2 linked regions of the Arabidopsis thaliana genome follow. The protein of the gene in region 2 interacts with the protein of the main gene of each other region in a pairwise test. Each region holds a gene or a part of one and is shown on either strand. Other genes may lie near its edges.

The links. The genes of interacting proteins can lie anywhere in the genome.
Region 1: the proteins of IQD31 (region 2) and AT1G12310 interact in a two-hybrid assay, tested with the Arabidopsis thaliana proteins (one large-scale study listed by BioGRID).

What each region holds. Positions count from the first base shown.
Region 1 is NC_003070.9:4,185,670-4,190,705, forward strand, and holds AT1G12310 (Calcium-binding EF-hand family protein), read right to left. Parts: upstream 2,565-5,036; 5' UTR 2,278-2,564; coding exon 1,831-2,277; 3' UTR 984-1,830; downstream 1-983. Other genes in the region: AT1G12300 (Tetratricopeptide repeat (TPR)-like superfamily protein), read right to left, coding at 1-407; AT1G12320 (ankyrin repeat/KH domain protein (DUF1442)), read left to right, coding at 3,755-3,814, 3,962-4,540.
Region 2 is NC_003070.9:28,061,922-28,066,957, reverse strand, and holds the start of IQD31 (IQ-domain 31), read left to right. Parts: upstream 1-2,186; 5' UTR 2,187-2,482; intron 2,483-3,011; 5' UTR 3,012-3,033; coding exon 3,034-3,114; intron 3,115-3,285; coding exon 3,286-3,585; intron 3,586-3,697; coding exon 3,698-3,901; intron 3,902-4,022; coding exon 4,023-4,097; intron 4,098-4,213; coding exon 4,214-5,036. Other genes in the region: TRZ1 (tRNAse Z1), read right to left, coding at 1-71, 157-225, 350-463, 595-690, 779-849, 927-1,089, 1,434-1,613. UniProt on the Arabidopsis thaliana protein: May be involved in cooperative interactions with calmodulins or calmodulin-like proteins. Recruits calmodulin proteins to microtubules, thus being a potential scaffold in cellular signaling and trafficking.

The DNA of each region.
Region 1 (5,036 bases), about 24 Mb from region 2:
CATCGACAAAAGCAATTAATCATAATACTCAGAGTGTAGAGGTTATGCGCGATTCCCTTTAATTCCATTTGCTTGCAGAGAGCTAACACAAGATCATACTGTTTCGTTTTGGCAATGGCACTAAACAATCTACTGAAATCTATAACAGTGGGAAGAGGACGAGAGTGAATCATGTCTCGGAACAGATCAATAGCATCATCTGCCTTAATATCGACAAGCCCACTTCTCAATCTCTCTCTATAAGACAGATTTCTATCGCTGAAAGCAGAGAAGCCGCGTTCGCAGCAAAAAGATAGCTCATTTGGGCAATTAATCAAAGCAATTCTCAGAGTACCTGTCTCCAGGAGACGAGGCTGAACAAATTTCGAAACTTGAGAACTCAATCTCCGTATCATCAACTTCACCATCTCAAGCTGAATCGTTCCTTTTCAAACTCTCACTCTCACTCTGTGTGTAAATTGCAAACCCTACAAAACAGCCATGGCACACGACGGACGGAGCTTAGAGACAAAAGAAACAACACCCGAAACGTACCAAATAAACCGGTTCAATTCAAATTATGCCGGAATTGGTTTTTTTTGTATCTTACTATAAAATACGGAAAGATTTTTATCTTTTAAGTTGCTCGGTGGAATGCATCAATGGCCTTTGGCACCCTCCTACGTTTTGATCTAGCGATCCAAATACTGCCACGTCTCAATTTACTTGCAAATAGGGAGAGTCCAGTAACTCGGGATTAGAGAGAGCTTGTTTTTATTCACTCGTGTTTTTGTTTAATCGGTCTAAACCGGACATTGTATGTTAACAGATTCATAGTGTAGTGAACCGAACATTTTGGGTATCATTCTAATGCGTATATTTATATGCTCTTTTCTTTTCACCACTACAATACTTCTTATCATTTACATGTGGTATTCATTAACGGAAATATTATTTTGAGAGCTTTGATCTTCACACAAATCATGTATTAGTAAGAAGTAACAGGAACATATAGAGAATGCATGTATCTAATCAAACTTTGAAACTTGCATCAGATTGAAATTTCATTTTCGCATAACCATCTACACAAGAAAACTATACCATAACAAGAACCAAAACCGAGTCAAAAACTACCGTTTCGAGAACATGAACTACAATGTCAGTGCCATAAGCTTTTTCAAAACTTTGTTCTGATGAGCCATCATAAGCTTTATTACCTTAAACCATGTTATCTAGGTACAACATGCCGCCCTGAAAGACAAACAACATCCAACAGCAACATAACAACACGATATTGAACAGCACAAGCTTGAGAGCAACAAAAGATCTTTAAATCATTTCGCAATCTTTTTACTTTCCACTTCACATACCAACAAAACACAGTCCTTGTCACAGATCGTGCCAGGATAAGGTTATGAAACAAGAAGATAGTATCTCATTCAAGAAGACTACTATAACATGAAGAACATTAAACCAAGTCTTAAACAAACAAAAAGGCTTATTAAAAGAATTCAATGCTAGATATCGAAATCAAACATTTCAAGATCGAAAGAGCGAAAAGTTACCACATTGGGAATCAATGAGATTCCTTGACCCCAATCCAACGAATTACAAAGGCATAAAAGACAAACCTTGACATTCTTAGAGATTAGATAAGATAAGAGGAATCACACAGACAACATTTCCATTAAAAATGAAAACAAACATGAAGAAGACAAAGTTAGTAAGCAAATTCCACAATGATAAAACAAACCCTAGCTAGGATTCGCTCGAAATCAAACAAACAAGTGAAAAAAACACAAAGAATCTCTTCTTAAAAATTTCAACTTTCAAAACATAAAAGATTAGATCTCACTTAGCAACCATCCTTGCTATGAAATCTTCATACCGGATCTTTCCATCGGATCCAACATCCACCTCCTTGATCCACTCATCGAACTCATTAGGCTCCAGCTTCTCTCCGATACTGGTCAGAATATGCCTCAGATCCGCCACAGCAACGAACCCGGTACCTTCCTTATCGAGCACTTTGAATGCGTCACGGAGCTGGCGATCGAAAGGTTCCGTCTTCAGATGTTTCGCCATGAGATCGAGGAATCTGTTGAAATCAAACGGTGAAGAGAGATTCTCGGATGCGATTATGGATTTCAGCTGGGCTTGGGTCGGGTTTCCGCCGAGAGATCGCATGAGGATCCCGAGCTCTGACGGTGCGATTTTGCCGTCGCCATCGGTGTCGAAGAGCATGAAGGCTTCCTTCATCGACGAGACCTGATCGTCGCTCAGACCATCTTTCCCCATTTTTCGATTCTTCCGGGTTTTCAGGTCAGATTCCGGGTCAGATGTTTCTCTCTTTTGCTTCTTCTCTGTACAACGAAATTTAGGATCAGAGAGTCGCGTTTGTAACTTTTAACGAGAGAGGTGTTGATATGGCGTCGTTTTATCTAATATTCAAGGCCCAACTATTTCTGGCCCATTTATCTCTTGAAATCTTAAAAGATGAACAAAGTCTAACCAATCATATTAGTGGAAATTTAAAGTTTAGGATCTTATTTTTGAAATGAATGTCTTTCGCCTATAAAGTTTTGATATGTTTGCTAGTTACAAATTAAAAAAAAGAATCAAATATTAGTAGGATAATTTGAGTGGGTTTGCATTTTAATATTTGTATTGGCAAATGAAATTGCTTAAAATGATTCCACTATACAACAAATCATTAAGTTTGAGAAAGTGGGATAAAAAGAATAAACATGACCTAATATTTCTTTAAGCCACAACCGATAGAGTCGTTTTCAAAGTGACATAGGAATTATAAAAAGGTTTGATTTGTCCCACATAATTGGATCTATGGGGTACAAAGACAATTGTTTAAATGCATTGGTCACTATCAATGTATATAGCAAATGATATCATCATGTGATTTAAAAGGTAACCTTCCACTTGGATGATTTTTCACATGTTTGAGTTCTTCTATACTTTATATCTTTCTTTTGGGTTTGCTTTGAAATATGATTCACTTGTTTGAAATTTATGCCATTATCTATGACTATCTCCATTATCCCTAGATGGAAAAAAAAGTATCCAGACACTCCTTATCAACGATCAATGAGACATTATCTATTATATCCACTTGGTTTTAGTTATCACATGATACTAAAGTCATTGAAATTGGGTCTGAATAGTGTTTTTTATTGTACCAACTAAATGAAAATTTTCTAAACTTAACTACTATTAACGAATAAACAGTTGATAAATCGTTTTAGACTAATTATAGTTTAAATCTCGTTAGCCTACACACGTCAAATTCGTCTGGAATAGTGTCAAAGTCGACTATCTAGAAACCTTATCTTTAAAAAACAGAAAGAAAGAACAAAACATAGTAAATCTTTTAGAAAATTTACCTATCACTCTCACATATTACACATTTTCAAAATCTAACCTTTACACCACAAAAATTTAGGATAATAGTACTCTAATTACCTCCGTTAATTCATAACAAGTGCATTCTCTATGTCCATTTTCTGATTTTAAAGCAACAATTTCTAAACAAAGGAGCTAAATCGGGGGGTACTTGATTAAAGTTGATAGTATTGGGGCTAAACCTAAAAACTAGACAAATATACAAGGGCCATATCGATACAAAACGAAACGAGACTTTTCTTAATGTCTACGTTCTCTATAAAAGCAAACTTTAAGCTAAAACCCAAACAAGAAGCAGAACACAAGAAACGTGAGAAACTTTGAGAAGACCAAGAAGAAGAAGCAGAAGAAGAAGAAAATGAAATTGGTTTGGTCTCCGGAAACAGCATCAAAGGCTTATATAGACACCGTTAAATCGGTAAGTTTTTTTTTTATTTTCCGGTGAGTTGTGAAGGAATAATAACACACGCTTCTTCTCTCCAGTTCTCGAAAACTCAGATCTTAATTTTGTTAAAGATTCATGGTTTGTTCTTGTAACGATTTTTTTCTTTTCTTTTTTGTTCAGTGTGAGAATCTTGAAACGCCGGACGCGGCGGAGCTAATAGCGGCGATGGCGGCGGGATGGAACGTGAAGCTGATCGTGGAAACTTGGTCAGAAGGAGACGCAATAGCTTCAAGTATTGGTTTAAACGTAGCAAGCAAACACGCAAACGCTAAACACATATGTATAGTACAAAACTCAAGATCAGAATCTGCTTATCTCCAAGCTATTCAAGAATCTTCATCTCCCTTGAACTTTCCAGAGACTATCGTCGCTGAAGAACCCGGAAAAGCGATGAAGAAGCTACAAGGAGTCGACTTCTTGGTCGTGGATTGGCGGAACAAAGAATTTGCAGCGGCTGCGTTGAAAAACGCTGCGTTTGGAAACAGAGGAGCTGTTGTGGTTTGTAGAAACGGGTATTCGAGCTTGAGAAGGGTTTTAAGAGACCGGAAAGTTGTTAGAACGGTGACTCTTCCGGTCACCGGAGGTATTGAGATAGCTCATGTTGCGGCTAGGAACTCAGGGAAGAGTGGTAACAATAAGAGAAGATGGATCACACATGTTGATCAGAGATCAGGAGAGGAACATGTGTTTAGTATCTAGAAAGTCAGAGACAAATAGTCATAAGTGTTTATTGGATCTTGTATTTGTTGTGTTTGTACATAAGATGATTCCATCAGATGCAATTGTTATTGAAGAAAACATGCTTGTCTTATAAATGTGATCTTTGTGTTGCAAAACTACTATCTCTGCTCGTCTCTCATTGCAATTCACTTGCTTCTATTTGTCTACCATGTTGGGAAGCATGAAGAACACTACAGAGTGATGGGCTTAAAAACAGTTGTTTATGAGTTCTTGAGCCCATTACATTAGTGCTCTCCGTGACTTGTAATCATATCCTTGACTTTATCTACAAGGAAAGTAATTGGGGTTCCCACATAAATGCTTAAGAAAATGACCTAAAGTGATTTGGTGGGTATGTTCGTTGCCGACGAGGTTATCATAACAATCGAGGAGAAAAAATTTCCAACTCGGGCCAATTTATAATAAGTGGATTAGCTTATCTTCTTTATACATCATGTTAGATCCATTTCCACTT
Region 2 (5,036 bases):
ACTGTATACCGAGCCGAAAAGTGGATTAGCAGGATTGCTTTGTTTTCAAACTTTTCAGCATGATTTACTATCTGCAGTTTAAGGATATATGAAATCTTCTATGACCATCAAGAGACAGAAAGTAACAAGAGGTGTCAAAGAAAGGAGGATCCTGACCTCAGATATATGGATATGTCCATAATCTCTCGCATGCTCTACCGATACCGAATCATCAAGAAATGTGCTCTGCACAAGAGGAAATAGAGACAGCTTCCCTTTTAATACAAAGCCATGAAACTTGGACCGGGAAGAACTATATCATTATAAATCACGCACATTGTCCAAATTCATATCAGTAGCAGATATTCACCTCCATGACGAGAACCTTTGCCTTGAGAGCATCAGCATTAGTTTCATCAACTACAAAATCCGACGTTGTATCTCCCGTAAAAGCAACTTCAGGAGTTATTATGCTGTCTGTAATCTACAATCCACAATCCAAACTTATTAAACAGGCTTATATACTTTGGAAAGACCATTGCAAAACTATTGACTTTGTGATAGACAAACATAAGAAAAAATTGACAAGCAATATTAAGCAAATCAAAGACAAACCTCAACACCTGAAACCTTCAAGTTCTTAATTTCATTTCCAGATAGGCCAATATATTCCTTCTTGAGTTTATATTTAGTTGAATACACTACATAACCCTGCAAAATATCAAACGAAAGCATGAATTCAACGAAGACACATAACGCTAAGATATCGAAAATCTCATGCGAGTTTACTAAAATAAACCTGGCTTTGGATGACATGGAATGTCTTAAAGGCTTTGACTTTGAGATCTTTCCTTATAATAAACTCCTCCCCTGCATGAAGAAGTGTCCAAGGTTTAACAAAAAAGCCAAATCTTGGCTGCAATGAATGCTAGAGGTTGAGTTACCACCTATGTCCAAGCCAACAAGATTGTGCTTTAGCTCTGAAGAATCTAACTTTCTGTGAACTTCGAATAAACTCTCAACAGTTTCTTTAATGGATGCGGGTACTATAATCGTTGGAGGCTTCATTTTGTACAAGCCTCTAGTAGCAACATACATTGGTAATCCACCCTAACATAACAATACGAATAGTTTAGCTCACAATTTGAGAATGTAACACCCAAACAGTAACAGAGCAATAGGCTAATATAACATAACAATTTAGCTGACAATTAGAGAATGTAACACCAACACAGCAACAGAGCAATATGCTAATGATAATAAACACATGGTGGCTCTCAACAAGGGTTTATCAAAACAGTAACAGAGCAATAAGCTAATGATAATAAACACATGGTGGCAGTCTCAACAAAGGCTTATCAAAATTGTTCTTAAAACAAAAAGTCAAAAGAAGGATCTTTGCAAAATATAATCCGAAATTTCAAGTCTTTTTATAGAAGATTCAAGATACTTACGATATGATCCATGTGAGAGTGAGAGATGAAGAGGAAGTCTTGAGAAATTGCGCGATGTGGGCAACGACCAATGTCGAAAGCTATCCGAAGAGATGGAAATATGATGCACGTCTCGTGCCCACCAATCGACAATCCCTCGATCGGGTAACCTTCAATTTGCATTGCTTTCTTCTTCTCCATCTCACTGTTCCTTAGGGTTTATCGAATTTTGGCTGTGCTCTTCGTTTTCAAATATTGATCACCAAGTGTTCGATGAAATGTCTCACAATCACAAGCTTTTTTCTTCCATGATCATTTTTTTTTTTTTTAATAATTTTATGGATTGGGCTTAGGCCCATAACGGTTAACGAGACTACTTCACTGGAGCGGGAACCACTAGGCACTGGTTAATAAATTTCCCACGTGCCTCTGGTGCAAAAGTTGGTCTTTCGTATTCAACGACAGTGCAAGGGTATGATTGTAAATTTACTTCGAATGCTTCATTAGAACGTCGCGGTATTCTTACACTTGTTTTCGAAGTAATCTCGACGACTATAACAAAATCTGAGCAATTTCAATTAAATATCTGTTACTGTTGTATTTTAAAATCTAGACTACTGATGACATAACCAAATTTTTAGACTAAATTACCCTTTTTCTTCTATTTTAATTATCGCATTTAATGATTTTCAGCTTTTTTTCTTTATAGATTGCTCTCTTAACTCTTCTTTAATTTTCCCTCTTTCGAGTTCTGAATTTTTCTGTAAAAATTAATTTTAGTTAAACTAAAAATGTTTGACAAAAATACTAAATTTCAGAGAAGATCCAACGGCTAGAAATCAACTGCGTAAGATTGGAGTTATGGAGATGCTCGCTTACTTTTTGGTTAAAATTAGAAATATTATTTTGCGCAAAATATTTATTTTCTCTTTCCGTCTGGTCACTGAAAGTCTCTGAAACCACCACCAAAGAGAAAAACAGTTCTTTAGAGAGCATCAAAGCTCCGAGGAAGAGAGAGAGAGACGCTATGGAAGCATTGAACTAACACAACTCTAAATTTCTAATTTACGGTATATTATCTCCTTCTTTGTTATTGTTTTTGTTTGGTCTGAATCGGACTTGGATTTAGAACGGAGATCCGACGGTTACTCCAACTTTAAACCGACTTTATTTTAAGACATTGTTCGAGTAGTGTTGGGTTTTAGAAGGATCTCTCTGTTTGGGATTTGTTGTTTGACTCTGTCGGTGTTTTTTGTTTGTTTGTTGTTGTTTTTCATTTTGGAAAGTGGATTTTGAGTCATTTAGGGTTCTTCTTTTTCAGTCTGAGTTCCAGATCTGGTAATTTCACTTCATAAATTTATATGGTAATCATTGTTTTTTTTTTTTGTTCTTTCTTGATTCTTACATTTAGTTATCATTAGGTTTATCTTTATAAGCTTATTATTAGAGTTGATTAGAACAAGATAATGTGTTACTCTCCTTTTTTGCCATAACTAATTAATGAATTAAAAGACTTCTTCATTTTGACTATTGTGGTAGACTAGTAGTTGCCATATTCACATACTAATATTGGCTTGTGTTGTTTCTTGGGCAATGCAGGTTTGTTTTAGTTCTATACATTATGGGGAAGTCTACAAAATGGTTGAAGAATGTATTGCTTGGGAAAAAAACTTCTAAATCTAGTGGTTCCAAAGACAAAGAGGTAACGCTTTTGTAAGAGAATTCTATATTATGTATGTGATGATTAAATACTGTATGTGGAGAATTTGGATCATAATTGAGAAAACAGTGATGGTTTTAGGCTACCAATTTGCTTATGATTGTCTTTTTTTTTTTTTTTTTTTGTTCTAATTATAGTTATAATAATGCGCAGAGAGTTGTGAGTGGAAAAGAGGTACTGGTTACTTCAAAGGTGGAAGAATCAGATGTGGTATCAGATCTTCCATCTTTTGAAGTTGCAGAGACCAATACCGTTGATAGAAGTGGTGGTATGTTAGAGACTCAAAATGTAGGACCTGAAGAGATCTCAGATGATGAAATTGAGCTTCCTGAAGGAAAATCAACAGATTCTCAGAATGTTGCACCTGTTCAAGATCATTCATTATCTGATGCAGAGAGAATCCAACGAGAGATTGCAGCAACGTCTGTGCAGGCTGCGTTTAGAGGTTACTTGGTAATAATTCCAGCTGTTTCGATTTTATTAGGCTTGTCTCTCTCTCTCTCTTGATTGCTGCTTCTGGTGTGTTGTCTTTTTGTATATCCTAACATGAGCTCTTTGTGTGAAGGCTCGGCGTGCTTTTTGGGCACTCAAAGGCATAATAAGGCTACAAGCGCTTATCCGTGGTCACCTTGTTAGGAGACAAGCTGTTGCAACTCTTTTCTCTGTCATGGGAATTGTCAGGTTGCAAGCATTTGCTCGAGGAAGAGAGATCAGGAAGTCCGACATTGGAGTTCAAGTTTATAGGAAATGCAGATTGCAGCTACTTCAGGTAATGATACTTTCATTTCTTTGTAAGTTCAAACTTACACTTAAATACAAACTTAGTCGAGGAAGATATTCTAGTTTGGGTTGGTGGGGAAATAATTGTTAGAACTGGCTTTTTTTATCAGGGGAACAAGCTTGCAAATCCTACAGATGCTTACCTTGGAATCAAGAAACTAACAGCCAATGCTTTTGCTCAGAAGGTACGCTTGTTGGTAGAGTTATTTATTATAATGATGTTCACTGTATCCAATATCTCTTTTATACTATGGAGTCTCTAATTTTATTTAAAGATCTTGATGGATAATTTTGTTTACAGCTTCTCGCTTCATCACCAAAAGTGCTACCTGTACACGCATATGATACATCCAATCCAAACTCAAACTTGATCTGGTTAGAGAACTGGTCAGCCTCATGCTTCTGGAAACCAGTTCCTCAACCGAAGAAAACGATAAGCAGAAAACCTCAGAACAGGCTTTTAGTCGAGGCTGAGTCTGCTAAACCCAAGAAGAGTGTCCGTAAAGTTCCTGCTTCAAACTTTGAAAGTTCCTCAGTACAGACATCTTTTGAGTTTGAGAAACCCAAACGCAGTTTCCGGAAAGTTTCAAGCCAGTCGATAGAGCCACCCGCTGTCGAAGATCCTCAGATTGAACTTGAAAAGGTTAAACGTAGCTTGAGGAAGGTACATAATCCTGTAGTTGAGAGCTCTATCCAACCTCAACGATCCCCTCGTAAGGAAGTCGAGAAGCCAAAGCTTGGCGTTGAGAAGACAAGGGAATCATCATATCCGCTGGTTCATGAAACTGCAGAAGAACCTGTGAATGTTTGTGATGAAAAGAAAAAGCAAGAAATTTCCGAACAGCCTGAGGAGGAGGTACATGCTCTTGAGATGGAAGTACATACTCCTGGACCATTAGAAACTAATGAAGCACTTGATTCCTCACTGGTCAACCAAATTGACAGCAATGAAAAAGCCATGGTTGAGGAAAAACCCTCAATGGAAAAGGATACCAAAGAAGAAAAGACTCCCAAACCAAACAATAAAGAGAATTCCGCTGGGAAGGAGAACCAGAAATCCAGGAAAAAGGGTTCAGCTACTAGCAAGACTGAGCGTGAAGAGAGTAATGGGCATCACGAGACTA